Caenorhabditis elegans: one gene and its partner. The protein of the gene in region 2 binds, or shares a complex with, the protein of the main gene of each other region. Each region holds a gene or a part of one and is shown on either strand. Other genes may lie near its edges.

What was found. Proteins that work in one complex are often made in the same cells at the same time.
Region 1: top-3A (region 2) and rmif-2 share a complex: the UniProt entries of both Caenorhabditis elegans proteins name them as parts of the BTR double Holliday Junction dissolution complex.

Annotation. Positions count from the first base shown.
Region 1 is NC_003282.8:1,180,691-1,188,564, forward strand, and holds rmif-2 (RecQ-mediated genome instability protein 2 homolog), read left to right. Parts: upstream 1-1,901; 5' UTR 1,902-1,971; coding exon of another isoform or gene 1,972-2,100; 5' UTR 2,101-2,284; coding exon 2,285-2,393; intron 2,394-2,507; exon of another isoform or gene 2,508-2,614; intron 2,615-3,099; exon of another isoform or gene 3,100-3,174; intron 3,175-4,033; coding exon 4,034-4,222; intron 4,223-5,655; coding exon 5,656-5,681; 3' UTR 5,682-5,935; downstream 5,936-7,874. Other genes in the region: Y104H12D.2 (DUF7930 domain-containing protein), read left to right, coding at 624-846, 1,972-2,100; mdt-20 (Mediator of RNA polymerase II transcription subunit 20), read left to right, coding at 7,127-7,322. UniProt on the Caenorhabditis elegans protein: Essential component of the RMI complex, a complex that plays an important role in the processing of homologous recombination intermediates.
Region 2 is NC_003281.10:11,955,969-11,963,692, forward strand, and holds the start of top-3A (DNA topoisomerase 3), read right to left. Parts: upstream 4,213-7,724; 5' UTR 4,201-4,212; coding exon 4,057-4,200; intron 2,743-4,056; coding exon 2,582-2,742; intron 1,593-2,581; coding exon 1,464-1,592; intron 1,386-1,463; coding exon 1,204-1,385; intron 127-1,203; coding exon 1-126. Other genes in the region: Y56A3A.28 (C2H2-type domain-containing protein), read right to left, coding at 5,985-6,237, 7,450-7,724. UniProt on the Caenorhabditis elegans protein: Component of the BTR double Holliday Junction dissolution complex, which is involved in homologous recombination during meiotic double strand break in the germline.

The DNA of each region.
Region 1 (7,874 bases), on a different chromosome or scaffold from region 2:
TTTTTAAAGCTGTAAAAACTGAAAAATTCTGCTCAATTTCCAATTTTTGTTGAAAACCTAGTGGTTTCTTGGATTGTTCTAATTTTTTATCAAAATCCTGCTGAAAATTAGAATTTTTAGCTTTTCCGCTTGTTTTTCGGAATTTTTTGTGGCTTTTTCCAGGTAAAAAATCCGTTTTTTACGGAAAAAACGGCAAATTTTTGAATTTTTCGATGTTTTTCCCATGAAAATCGGAAAATTTGTATTTTTTGTTTATTTTTAAAGGAAATTCGAATTTTTTTTCGTGGCGAGACCCAACCTTTTCAGACTTTGCGCAAAGTAGGTCAAAATTATACGGCAACTTGGCAACTGAATTTCCCAATACTGTCTGTGACTTGTGTGTTTCTCTATCCGAATTGATGGTTTGAATAGTGGTATTCTCGGCTGAAATATGCAATAAATACCGTATTCCAACCAACAATTCGGTGCAATAGAGCACATTTGTCACCGGGGATGCGGAAGCTATGCCCAAATTTTCATTTTTCAGGAAAAACACCTTTTAAAAGCCAAAATTGGGCCAAATTTCATAAATTTTTGGCCAAAAAACTTAAAATTTTCACCAAAAATCGCCTTTTTTTTTGCAGATGCCCAATTCTAAAATACACTGGCGGAGCAGATGATAGTCCTTCGGCTCGAGCACTAAATGACGTCATATCAATCGATAATCACGTTATGTTCAAAGCTATGCTAATCAATGGAAGATATGACGCTGTTGAATGGAAAAAAATTGCCGATTCTCATGAACTTGTGATGCCGAAAAAAGTGAACACGTCGGATTCGTATGCACAGACTCCTGCGTGTCTTGTGGTACGGGGTTTTGAGTGGAAATTTGGGATTTTCCGCTAAAAATGAGCTGAGAAAATCGGAAATTTTAACCCTAAATTGCCTGGAAATTCGGAATTTTGCGTTAAAAAAAGTGAAAAAAAAACATTCAATTTTAGATCCAAAAAGTTTATTTTGGAAGCTCCCACTTTGGCTGAAATTTTGATATTTCTGGTTAAATTTTACCGGTTTTATGCAGAATTTTTTATAATTTTCCACTTTAATTGGCATTTTAGAGCCTTAATTTTTACTAAAAATGCGCTAAAAATTTGATATTTTACTAACTTTTGTTAGAAATGTGAATATTTTATTAAAAAGGTTGATTTTTATGTAAATTAAATTATTTTGTCAACAAAAATTAGATAAAAATTCGGAAAACCCATTTTCCATACCGTTTTCAGATATTTCTGGCCTCCTTTGCAAAAAAATGAAAAATTGGAAATTTTCAGGAATTAAAAAAAATTCAAAATTTTTCAAATATCTAAACAAATTAGGATACTTTGACCGATTTTGCTACGCTTAGAAAAAGTTTTAGTCCATTTTCTAAATTTAAATCAATTTTCTGACGACATTTTTCAAAAAATTTGAAAAATTTCACACATTTTGACTAGTTTTTTTTCCAAAAATGTAAATTTTTTTTAAACTTTAAAAAAGTTTTTTAAATTAAAAAGCTGTAAAAACCGAAAAATTCTACCTAATTTCCAATTTTTTGTTGAAAACCTAGGATTAGCTTGGATTTTGCTAATTTTTCTCAAAATTGTGTTGAAAATCTGAATTTCTAAGCTTATCCGTTTTTTTTTCTAACATTTTCGGCGTTTTTCATCCCAGTTACCGAGGAATGCTATAAATTTTGAGTACGGCAACTCGGCAACTGAACTGAATTTCCCTGTATATTGTCTGTGACTTGTGTGTTTCTCTATCCGAATTGATGGTTTGAATAGTGGTATTCTCGGCTGAAACATGCAATAAATACCGTATTCCAACCAACAATTTGTGCAATAGAGCACATTTGTCACTGGAGATGCGGAAGCTATGCCCAAATTTTCAATTTTTCACGTGAAAACTTTGTCAAAATCACTAAATTTTCGCCTAAAAACCTGAAATATTCAGACAATCATGTTCCGAAAACTGCTCCAAAATCATCCAGAAGATATGGATCGATACTCATCAATATTGGATCAATTGCCACCGTCAGCACTTCCAGATTGCTATTTTTCCCGTGAAAATTGCACGGAATAATGGGATTTTTTTTTTGGTTTTTTTTTCGGTTTTATTCTCGAAAACGTGTTTGTCAATACTAATTATTGGGTTTTTTTTTCACAATTTTGCACTTATTTTCCGCACAAAATCGGTTAAAATTCCGGCTTTTTTTTACCTATTTTCACCCATTTTTTACCCCAAAAAACCGGAAAATCCATAGAAAATGTGCGATCGAGACGATTGTGCAAGTATCGCGAGCCGCTGCACCGGAGAAACTATCATTTGTGCATTTGTGGAATCAATCACACCGCCCAAGATTCGAGATAAGACGGGTAGGTTTTTTTTTTGCGGAAAAACTGCAAAATCCACTTAATTATCGATTTTTGGTGCGGAAAACGCCGAAAAATTGTCATTTTTGGGTTACTGTAGCCCCAAACATCACACCAATGCATCGGATCTTACGACAAAATGCAGAAAAAATTCGATTATTACGTAGAACCGCGTTTTTCCGCATTTTGTCGTAAAATCCGGTGCATTGATGCGGTTTTTGCACGGATTTAGGGATACGGTAACCACAAATTCGATTTTTCATTAAAAAATGACATAGTGCTAATTTTTCAAGTAAAAAACTGGATTTTTATATGAAAAATGTGATTTTGAGCATAAAAAGCGGCGTTTCCGGGCTAATTCACGATGTTTTTGGTTACTAAAAGCAAACACCAGACCTTACGACAAAATGCAGAAAAACCCGATTTTTCTGCATTTTGTCGTAAGATCTGGTGTCTAGACGCGGAAAAATCCTTTTTTTTTTCGCTTATAACTTAAAATTTCGGATTACTGTAGGCCCGATTCTGTGTAGACACCAGATCTCACGACAAATTGCAGAAAACGCTCAAAAGTGAAGTTTTACGCATTTTGTCGTAAAAGTTTCAATTTTTGACAGAAATTTAGCTTTTTTTAGCTGAAAATTTGAAAATTCAAGTGGAAATTAGTGAAAATTGCACCAAAAACAGATTTTTAGCGAAATGTTTGATTTCCGGATTACTGTAGCCCCAATTCTGTGCAAACACACCGCCTCACAGACACCGGATTTTACGACAAAATGCAGAAAATGAGCCACAATCCAACTTTTCTGCATTTTTTCGTGGGATCGGGTGTCGTCTAGCCGCCGTGATTGAACACAACAAGTTCCCCGAAAATGGTCATTTTCACTCAAAATTTCGAGGAAAAATCCTTTTTTTTCCGCTTAAAATTCAAAATTTCGGGTTACTGTAGCGATTCCGATTCTGTGCAGACACCAGATCTCACGACAAATTGCAGAAAACGCAGAAAAATTGAAATTGCTGTATTTTGTCGTGAAATCAGGGCCAGAATTTTCTTTTTTTTTTACAGAAATTGGGGTTTTTTTAAGCTGAAATATTGAAAAAATTCGGTGGAAATCGAGAAAATTGGCCCCAGTGCATTTTTCCCACAGTGCATTTTTTTTTCTCACTTCTACGACTTTAAAGGCGCGCGCATTTATACAAAATGGTCCCGTCATTGGTCTCGCCACGCGCTCAACAAATCAATGGGATGCGCGTGGCGAGACCATTGTGCGAAAATGCGCGCGGCTTTAAAGTCGTAGAAGTCCCTTCTCTATACAAACACACCAGATTTTACGACAAAATGCAGAAAATCTATTTTTCTGCATTTTGTCGTCGGATCGGGTGTCTTGGCGCTGTGTTTGCACAAAAGTGAGGCTACAGTAATCTCTGCATGCATTTTTTTGTAATTAAATTGACAAAAACTTTAATTTTTCGTTAAAAATACGAAATTTTTCATATTTTTCTAGATTTTTTAAAAGAAATAAATATAGTTATCGCTGAAAAAAAACAGCTGTCAGAGTCAAAAATTGCACGAAAAATGTTCAAAAAAAAAAAAGGAATTTTCATAGAAAAATGTACTAAAAACTAAAAATCCCCCCAATTTTCAGGCACCTACGAGCTGAAATGCCCATTTGCGGAAGGTTTCACAATGGAAATTGGCGATTTGTTCCTTTTTCACTTTGTTTTCGATGGCTCCTCGGAGAAATGCACACGTTTGACGCCGATTCCAAAGATGTTGGCTATGGTGTACGAGAAATTGTTGAAGGATCTTCGAAAAGCTAAAAAAGAGGGGAAAAGTATGGGTTTTTTGAGGAAAATTGCAGAAAAATTGCGATTTTTTACAAAAAATTGGAAAAAAAAAATCACTTTTCGAATTTTCTTGAGAAAATGTCGGAAAATTCAAATTTTCCTATTTTTTTCTTAATTGACATTTTTAATGAATTTCACGCAAAAATTGAAAAAGAGCTAATTTTTCCAGTCAAAAACAGGATTTTTATTTGGAAAATTTTGATTTTCAGCTTTGAAAACAGTGTTATCGGGTTAATTTTCGCAAAAATCTTAATTTTTCAATGTTTTTGGTTACTGTAGCCCCAGTTCTGTGCAAACACCGCTCCCAGGCGCCAGATCTTACGCCAATGTGCAGAAAAAAAAATGCAGAAAAAAAGAAGAAAATATTATCAAAAACGGTAGTTTCAATGCCATAGTTTTCGTAATTTTAGCCTAAAATAGAGTTTTTCTGCAATTTGTCGTCGAATTCGGTGTATAGTCGGCACACTACAGTAATCAAAAATTCAACATTTTTGCAGTGCACCCGCATTTTTTTCACAAAATTCGGATTTTGCAACATATTTTACGGTAAATTGCAGAAATATCGATTTTTCGTTGTGTTTGCACATAAAGTAGGCTACAGTAACCCAATTTTTAGAAAATTGTCATTCTCTTAGTAAAAAATGATTTTTTGTTTAAAAATATTAGAACTTTAAGCTTTTCCGCTTGTTTTTCTATCCCAGTTACCGAGGAATGCTATAAATTTTAATACGGCAACTCGGTAACTGAACTAAATTTCCCTGTATATTGTCTGTGACTTGTGTGTTTCTCTATCCGAATTGATGGTTTGAATAGTGGTATTCTCGGCTGAAATATGCAATAAATACCGTATTCCAACCAACAATTTGTGCAATAGAGCACATTTGTCACCGGAGATGCGGAAGCTATGCCCAAATTTTCCATTTTTCAGCCTGAAAACTTTGTCAAAATCGCTAAATTTTCGCCTAAATTTTCACGCCCTTTTTCTCAGATTTCGCGGTTTCTAGCTGAATTTTGAAATATCGAGGGTTACTGTAGCCCCAAAAATACGCAAACGCCGAATTTCACCCTATTTCTGAATTTTGAGCTGAAATTTTGAGTTTAGACTAAGAAAATGGCGAGGAATTCGATTTTAATGCTCAAAATTCCAATAAATTTTTTTTTGAACGTCTGAAAATTAAATTTTTCTGTGCAAAATGAGTATTTTTTTTTCGCGAAACTCAAATTTCTGTGACTTGTGTGTTTCTCTATCCGAATTGATGGTTTGAATAGTGGTATTCTCGGCTGAAATATGCAATAAATACCGTATTCCAACCAACAATTCGGTGCAATAGAGCACATTTGTCACTGGAGATGCGGAAGCTATGCCCAAATTTTCAATTTTTTTTGGGCTAAAAACTTCAAATTTATTTCCAATTTTCAGTGATCATCTCACCAACAGCCAACTGATCATCTCTCCGTCATCGTCTGCGTCTCTAATTTTTTTTTCGCAAAAATGTTTTTTTGTTTTTTTCTAAATTTCTCTGTTTCTCTGCTTCCTCGAAAACTTCAAAATCTCTCGGTTTCTCCCAATTTTTCTCATTTAAACTGGTATTCTTATCAAATTTGTTAATTGGTTTTTTAAATTTATTGACTTTTTACTGGTACTTCTCCTTTTTTTTGTAAGTTTTTTTGTACATTTTTCTATGAAAATTCCTTTTTTTTTTTTTGAAAATTTTTCCTGCAATTTTTGACTCTGACAGCTGTTTTTTTTTCAGCGATAACTATATTTATTTCTTTTAAAAAATCTAGAAAAATATGAAAAATTTCGTATTTTTAACGAAAAATTAAAGTTTTTGTCAATTTAATTACAAAAAAATGCATGCAGAGATTACTGTAGCCTCACTTTTGTGCAAACACAGCGCCAAGACACCAGATCCGACGACAAAATGCAGAAAAATAGATTTTCTGCATTTTGTCGTAAAATCCGGTGTGTTTGTATAGAGACGGGACTACAGTGCATTTTTTTCCAACTTCTACGACTTTAAAGGCGCGCGCATTTTCGCACATGGGTCTCGCCACGCGCATGGCGAGACCAATGACGGGACCATTTTGTATAAATGCGCGCGCCTTTAAAGTCGTAGAAGTTGGAAAAAAAATGCACTGTACAGTAACCCGTAAATTGAAATTTCGCAAAAATTCAGTTTTTGGGGCCAATTTTCTCGATTTCCACCGAAATTTTTCAATATTTCAGCTTAAAAAAACCTCAATTTCTGTAAAAAAAGAAAATTCTGGCCCTGATTTCACGACAAAATACAGAAATTTCAATTTTTCTGCGTTTTCTGCAATTTGTCGTAAGATCAGGTGTTTGCCAAACAACTGGGGCTACAGTAACCCGGAAATTGCAATTTTGGAAAAAACGGAAAATAGCAATTGTTGATGCGAATTTCTAGTTTTTAGCTAAAAAATCAGCTTAAAAATGATTTTTTTCAAGCTCCGGGCTACGGTAGCTCCGATTCTGTGCAAACACGGCGCCGAAACACCAAATCTGACGACAAATTGCAGAAAACCGCTAATTTTTACGCTTAGCCTAATGAAAATGTGATATTTTGCGCTGATACCTGCGTTTCTGACAATGTTTTCAGAAGTTTTCTGCAATTTGTCGTAAGATTTGGTGCCCCTATTTGTGTTTGCACAGAAACGGGGCTACCGTAACCAAATTTTTGCAAAAATTGCAGTTTTCTTGGTGAAAACTAGTTTTTTCTTCAAAATTAACTCGAAAATTTCCAGTTTTTTCGTCCAATTTCACGAAAAAGGCGTTTTCTGCAATTTGTCGTAAGATCCGGTTTGCCAAACAACTCATCGGGCTACAGTAACCCGAAAATTTCCAATTTTCCAGTTTTTCGCATCAAAAAATGGGTGTCACATGGGTTTTCGAAGCAGAACAAACGGCAAAATCAGTGGAACGACTGTTGGAATCGATCGGAGGCGATCTTCACGGAACATTTATCGTCGACGTCACCCCATTCAATCCGCCGACACCGAGTTCCGATTATCCGTCAAATGTGGTGATGCATCACTCGAAATGCCCACAATCAACGTTTTCCATTTGTGAGCACCCACCCGAGTTTTCAGTGGAAAAATCGCGAAAATTGAAGGAATCTGACCTAAAAACACTGCAACTTTTTTCCTGACGAGGGACGAGGAAAAGTGGTTTCTAGGCCATGGCCGAGGGGCCGACAAGTTTCAGCGGCCATTTATCTTGTATTGTTTTCCGCCTGTTTTCTTTTGTTTTTCATCGATTTTTTTTCGTTTTTTCTTAATAAAACTGATAAATAAATATTTTTTGCAGATGCTAAAACAATTTCCAAGTAAAAAAATAATGTATTCAGTGGGCAAGCAGCGGTGAAAGTGGGCATTGTAATATGATGGATTACGGGAATACAAAACCTAAACTTTTTCTGAAACATGATACATATGATGCTTAGATGCTGAGACTACCTGATTTTCATAACGAGACCGCTGAAAAAGTTTTGAGGTTTTCAAAATTCAACTTTTTTTGGTGAAAAAGTCGAGATTTTCGCACAAAACGTTGAATTTTGAAAACCTCAAAACTTTTTCAGCGGTCTCGTTATGAAAATCAGGTAATTTCAGCATCTAAGC
Region 2 (7,724 bases):
GGGTGTGCTCCACGATCAGCTTCCAGAATGGTTCGGACACAAAGTTCTCAATCATTTTATAACGATCTGTGACAAAGCCGAGTGTTGGGAATTGACAGGAGCCATAGCTGATCACTTGGGATGTGTCTGAAAAAATTATTTAAATTTGGGAAATTTGCAAAATTTTCAGAAAAAGTTTTGGCAAATTTCCAAACTTTTCAAGGGAAAAAAATTTAAAATTTTTGATAAATTGCCAAAAATTTTAGTAAAAAAATTGGTAAATTTCCAAATTTTTCTAGAAAAATACCAAATTTTGTGGTAAGTTGCCAATTTTTTTTTGTAATTTGCTAAAATTTCCCTACGGAAATTTCCCCTGAAATGGAAGAGTTTTTGCCGAACTAGGCCAGGCCATATCTGGGGTAGATTTACGGCGCGCGTTGCGTGTCGCGTCGCGGCTCGATTGTAAAACTAAATGCATTTGTCCGTGTGAAGTACACGCCTTTCCGTGATTTTCACGGGGTTCTGGTCTTCCTTATTGCATTTTCCGCGCTCCATTGACAATCGCCTGCCGGACTCCACACGGACAAATACATTTAGTTTTACAATCGAGCCGCGACGCGACACGCAACGCGCGCCGTAAATCTACCCCAGATATGGCCTGGCCTAGTTCGGCAAAAACTCTTCCATTTCAAGTCATGGGAAGCCAGAAATCCGTGAAAAAAATTTTTAGTAGAAAAACGGGAAATTTTCAAATTATTCTAGAAAAATACCAAATTTTTTTTTGTGTACTTTGCTAAAATTTTCCGCCGAAATTTTGGTAAATTGCCAAATATTCTGGTAAATTAATAAAAAAATTTAAATTTTCCGCCAAAAATCCAATTTTCATAAAATTGGGAACTTTGTTTGATAAATTCCCAAATTTTTAATAAATCACATTTTTTTCTGGTATATTTTAATTAAAAAAAAAAAAAATTTTATAGAAAATTGGCAAATTTCCGGCAAATTGGCAAATTTTACCCCAGAAAATTGGTAAATTGGGCAAGTTTTTGGAATCGCCAAAATTTTGGAAACTGTCAAATTTTAATGTATATTTTCAATTTTTTCTGCAATATTTTTTTTTTTTGGAAAACCTCCAAACTTTCAGTAAATTGCCCAAATTTTGGTATTTTTCCAAACTTTTTTTTCAAAAATTATTTTTTTTTGCAAATTTCCCAATTTCTCTACCATTTTGCCCCAGTAAATCTCTGAATCGATTCCTTAAATGCAACGTCTGTAGTCTTGTAAAAGCGGATCCAATTCGAAGATCCAATTCACTTCGACAATCAACTGCGGCAACGGTCTTCTCGTCGAGTCGGATGAGATTCCGAGCTGCTCGTGTGATGGCTGCTTTTGTGATTTCGGAGAATCTATAATAAAATTTGGGAATTTTATATTTTGCGCGTCAAATATGTTGTGTAGTACGCATTCTCAGAGTTTTGTGTTACCTCGCTCTGAAAATATCCAGCCGCCGGTTGCTATCTCTGCAAACTTTAACAATTTCAGCGCCAATTGCTTCACCTTCTCGATCGCAATCTGTCCAGACTACCAGGATATCGTGTCGTTGGGCTTGTTCTCTGAAAAGTTCCAAAAATTTCTATAAAGAACCTATATGCTTGCCTGCCTACACGCCTACATCATGCCCATCTACATCGATACCTTAAGCTTACTATTCGTTTGCCAGAACGCCCACGGTATGCTTGCCTACCTCCGCGTCTACACGCCTACTCTATGCTTGCCTGCCTACGCACTTATCTCATACCTACCTACGCGCCTACTCAATGCTTGCCTACCTAGCCACCTACTTCATGTCTACCTACAAAAATACCTTAAGCTTCCTATACGTTCGCCTTTAAGCCCACCGTATGCTTGCCTGCCTACGCGCCTTCCTCATGCCTACCTACGCGCCTGCGCGCCTACTCAATGTTTGCCTGCCTAGATGCCTACCTACATGTATACCTTCAGGTATACCTTAAGCTTCCTATAAGTTTGCCTGCACGCCTACTATATGCTTGCCTGCCTAGACGCCTACATCATGCCTACCTACGCGCCTACACCATGCCTACCTACGCACCTACACGCCTACTCTATGCCTGCCTGCCTAGACGCCTATCTACATGTATAAATTTTCGCCTACACGCCTACTTCATGCCTACCTACGCACCTACACGCCTAATCTATGACTGCCTACGCGCCTACTCCACGCTTGCCTACACGCCTACTTCATGCCTACCTACGCGCCTACACGCCTACTCCACGCTTGCCTGCCTAGACGCCTACATCATGCCCACCTACATCAATACCTTAATCTTAGTATACGTTCGCCTATACGCCCACCGTATGCTTGCCTACCTACGCGCCTACTCGCCTACTCCACGCTTACCTGCCTACACGCCTACCTCCTGCCTACCTACGCGCCTTTTCGCCAACCTACAAGTAATAGATACATTTCTCATGCCTACCTACCTGCCTACAAGCTCACCTTATGGCTACCTACGCGCCTACGCGCCAACAAAAGACTGCCTACTTTATGCCTGCCTTCCCCCCCCCCCCCGTAAAATTTAACCTTAATGTCTGCTCGATGAGCTTCATCTCTGGTGTGACAACATGCCGAACCGGAGCTCGAAACAACTCGACCATCGACGCCGTTTGCCAATTCGACATATTCTCGTGAAATTGGAAATTCATCATATGTCCCGAAACACTTGTCACCGAAATTGCGGTTTGCTGCAAAAATAGGATTTTTCTTGCTTAGAAATACTCAAACTAGTCTCGAATTCCGTATAAATCACAAAAAAACCGAAAAAAAATAGCGAAAAATTGAAAAATCCAACTTTTTGAACCTGCGACCAATCAGCGCGATTCGCTCCGCCCACTTTCCAACCAATCAGATGGAGTGGGCGGGGTTTGGTGGATTTTTCTTTATATAAGACTATTTTTGGATATTTCAAACACCTCCTAACCCCGCCCACTACCCCTGATTGGTTGAAAAGTGGGCGGAGCGAATCGCTGATTGGTCGCGGTTTTTATTTTCCGAAAATTGATAAAAATAGTGATTTTTTTGCTTAGAAATACTCAAAATAGTCTTAAATTCCGTATAAATCACAAAAAAACCGAAAAAAATAGCGAAAAATTGAAAAATCCAACTTTTTGAACCTGCGACCAATCAGCGCGATTCGCTCCGCCCACTTTCCAACCAATCAGATGGAGTGGGCGGGGTTTGGTGGATTTTTCTTTATATAAGACTATTTTTGGATATTTCAAACACCTCCTAACCCCGCCCACTACCCCTGATTGGTTGAAAAGTGGGCGGAGCGAATCGCTGATTGGTCGCGGTTTTTATTTTCCGAAAATTGATAAAAATAGTGATTTTTTGCTTAGAAATACTCAAACTAGTCTCGAATTCCGTATAAATCACAAAAAAACCGAAAAAAAATAGCGAAAAATTTAAAAATCCAACTTTTTGAACCTGCGACCAATCAGCGCGATTCGCTCCGCCCACTTTCCAACCAATCAGATGGAGTGGGCGGGGTTTGGTGGATTTTTCTTTATATAAGACTATTTTTGGATATTTCAAACACCTCCTAACCCCGCCCACTACCCCTGATTGGTTGAAAAGTGGGCGGAGCGAATCGCTGATTGGTCGCGGTTTTTATTTTCCGAAAATTGATAAAAATAGTGATTTTTTGCTTAGAAATACTCAAACTAGTCTCGAATTCCGTATAAATCACAAAAAAACCGAAAAAAAATAGCGAAAAATTTAAAAATCCAACTTTTTGAACCTGCGACCAATCAGCGCGATTCGCTCCGCCCACTTTCCAACCAACCAGATGGAGTGGGCGGCGTTTGGTGAATTAAGACTATTATTTTGGGTATTTCAAACACCTCCTAACCCCGCCCACTTCACCTGATTGGTTGAAAAGTGGGCGGAGCAAATCGCTGATTGGTCGCAGTTCTTATTTACCGAAAATTGATTAAATAGTGATTTTTTGCGGATTTTAGACTATTTTGGGTATTTCAGAGCCAAATGACTGCTGGTACCTGTCCAAAAAGCTCGGTATTCAACGTGTAAATCTTGTTAAACTTGCTCCGCCCCTCTCGTCGATTCGCTGTTCCATTTGATAAAATCGCAGCGACTCCCTTTGCCACGTCATTCTTCTCGGCCACAAATAAGGCTCTTTTCATTGGGAATTTGAGCTTAAAATTATGTTTTTTTTTCAGTTTTAAAAAATGAGAGAGAGCGTTGAGAGCGTTCACAAAAAGTTAAAAAAATTTTTTTTTTTCAACATTTCAAAAAAAAAATTTTTTATTGAAAATTTGAGATTTTTTCCAAAAATGTTTTATTAAGTATTTCGACATTACAAAACACTTTCAGAAAAAAACTTTTTTTTTTCTGAAAGTATTAATTAATTTTTTAAAACGTTTTGTGCTCATTTGCAAATGATATTTTGTGTATTTCCCCTATTTGTAAAAATGCTCTTCCAAAAAAATTTAAAAAAATTTTTTTTTGAAAAATAATCAAAAAAATTTCAAAATTTTTTGAGAAAATTTAAAATATTTTTAATTTTGTTGGATTTGTTAATATGGTTATTTTTAGGTTTGGAAGTGGTTTAAATTTTAGGAAAAAAATTAACTTTTGAACAACAAAAAATATTAAAAAAAAAAACATTTCGAAAAAAATTCAAAAAAAAATTCCAATAAAAAAATTATTTTTTTTTAAAATTTCTAATGATTGTATAATAATTTCTTCAAAATTTGATTCGAAAAAAATCACAATTTTTTCTCCTAAAAAATTTCAAAAAAAAAATTTTTTTCCAAAAATCTTTTTAAAAAATCAAATAAATCTGGTGTAAAGACCTGAAACAAAAACTTGCAAAACATATAAAAATTATTTTTCATAAAAATTGAAATTTATTCACAATTGCGGTAAAAAAAGCAGAGAATTATCATTAAAAAATGACATTTGTATGAGGTGATTACGGTGAAATGATATTACATGTACGAGAGGGGTGGGGGTTTTCAGGGAAAAATGTGAACAATTCGAAAAAAAAAAATAGAATGTGATTACTTTTGCATGTCGGCTCAAGTAGGTCGATTGCACCATGTTTTTTCCAATATTTTTCTTCATTGGTTTAGTCGAAATTGCCTGAAAACACCGAATTTCAGAATGAAACTTCTTGGAAAATTCTCAAAAAAAAAAGTTATGGCGGCTCAAAAATGACTTAGTTGAAATTTGAAATTTGAGCGGCTGGAAACTAACTTTTTTGAAATCACCGTCTAATTTTGGGAAACATTTTGGAAATTTAACTTTAAATTTGGCAATTTACCAAATACTTGAAAGTTTTTCAAAAAAATTGGCAATTGAGCAAAAAAAAAACATTGACTGAAAAGTTATGCAATTTTCTAAAAATTGGTATATTTTCAATTGTTTTTGCCAATTTTTCAAAAAAAAAACATTGACTGAAAAATTGGGCATTTTATCAAAAAATTGGCATATTTTCAATTTTTGTGGCAATTTTTCAACAAAAAAAAACTGGCGATATTCCAAAAAATGTGGCAAATTACCACAAAATTTGGCTATTCACTTGATTCTTTGACTTGGAAATTTTCGAAATTTACCAAAACTTCTACTAAAAATTTTGCGAATTGATAACCATTTAAATGTACCTAAATCGAGTTGAAAACGCAAGATAATTAACTTGTATAGCCAAAATTAGACGGTGATTTTTCAAAAAAGTTAGTTTCCAAGACGGTCAAATTTCAAATTTTAACTAATTTAGGGTCATTTTTTGAACCGTCATAACTTTTTTTTTGAGAAGTTTTCAAAAAGTTTCACTATGAAATTCGTTGTTTTCAGACAGTTTCGAGTCTAATAACAAAGTATGGAAAATCATGTGAATAATCTGAAAATAATAATGATTTCAGAAAAAATATTTTTTAAAAAATCAAATGGTGCAATGTGACATTTTTCATTCATAAACTTCTTCTTCTTCATCATCTTCGTCTCCAATTGGAGCTTCCTCTATAATCTCTTCCTCTTCTTCTACATAAGGCTCATTTGAAGTGGATGCGGCGGCAGCCGATATATAAGTATGATCTTCTCGAAGTTGCCGTCGGCGTGTCGCCGCGACGGATACTCGAACGGATTTCTCGTTTACAGTGTACTTCATTGTTGTCGGTATCGATTCGACTTGGTCTTCGGGGTGATATCGAGGAATTGTTCTGAAAAAAATGGTTTTTCGAAAAAAAATTTATAAACCTTTATAGGCCAATTTTGATTTTTTTAGGCCAATTTTTTTATTCAGGCCAATTTGGAATTTTTCAGGTCTATTTTGATTTCTTTAAGGCTAATATTGATTTTAAAGCCAATTTTGATTTTATAGGTCAATTTAATTTTTTTAGGCCAATTTTGTTTTTTAAGGCCAATTTGAAATTTTAAAGCCAATTTTGATTTTTCTGGCCAACTTGCGATTTTTAAGCCAATTTTGATTTTTTTAGGCCAATTTTTTTATTTAGGCCAATTTGGAATTTTTCAGGCCACTGAGGTTTTTAGACCAATTTTGAAATTTTTAAAGCCAATTTTTTTATTTAGGCCAATTTGGAATTTTTCAGGCCACTGAGGTTTTTAGACCAATTTTGAAATTTTTAAAGCCAATTTAGATATTTTTAGGCCAATTTCGATGTTATAGGCCAATTTTGTTTTTTAAGGCCAATTTGAAATTTTAAAGCCAATTTGGATTTTTTAAGGCCAATTTGGAATTTTTAAGGCCAATTTAGATTTTTGGGCCAATTTTAATTTTTTAGGCCAATTTGGAATTTTTAAGCGAAATTTGATTTTATAGGCCAACTGGATTTTATTGGCCAATTTAGTTTTTTAAAGGATAATTTGAAATTTTTAAGCCAATTTGAATTTTTTTTTAGTCAATTTTGATTTTATAGGCCAATTTTAGATTTTTTGGTTTAATTTTGTATTTTTCAAGCCTATTTTAAATTTTTGAGGCAAATTTGGAATTTTTAAGCCAATTTATATTTTTTTAAAGCCAATTTTTCATTATTTTAAGCTGATTTTTATTTGTTGTGCCAATTAGGATTTTTTAAGTCAATTATTATTTTTTAGGCCAATTTAAATTTTTTCAGGACGATTTTTATTTTTAGGCCAATATTTATTTTTTAGGAAAATTTATATTTTTTTAGGCCAATTTCGATTTTTCTGGCCAACTTGCGATTTTTAGGCCAATATAAATTTTTTCAGGACGATTTTTATTTTTTAGGCCAATTTTCATTTTTTTAAGGCTAATTTCGATTTTTTTTGGCCAATAAGGGTTTTAAAGCTAATTTTTGATCATCAAAATGAATTTTTTGAACATTTTTAAAGTTAAATTCTGATCTAATTACTGTAAATTGACTCAAAAAATTTGGAAATTTTCTTCTGACCTAGATCTTCTCATAATTGGTCCTTTTATAACCGCATTTCTAATATGATGATTAACAATGTGTCGATCCAGATTCCTCTTCGTTATCGTTCGATAATCACAACTCGGACACACATACGGCTTCTCTCCAGTATGTGCTCTTTTGTGCACTTTTAACGATGATGTCGTTCGAAAACGCTTTCCACAATAGTCACATCCATACGGCTGTTCGCCAGTGTGAATTCGGAAATGAGCCGCAAAATTGTGCCTATAGAGCACAAGACCGCACGTTGGACA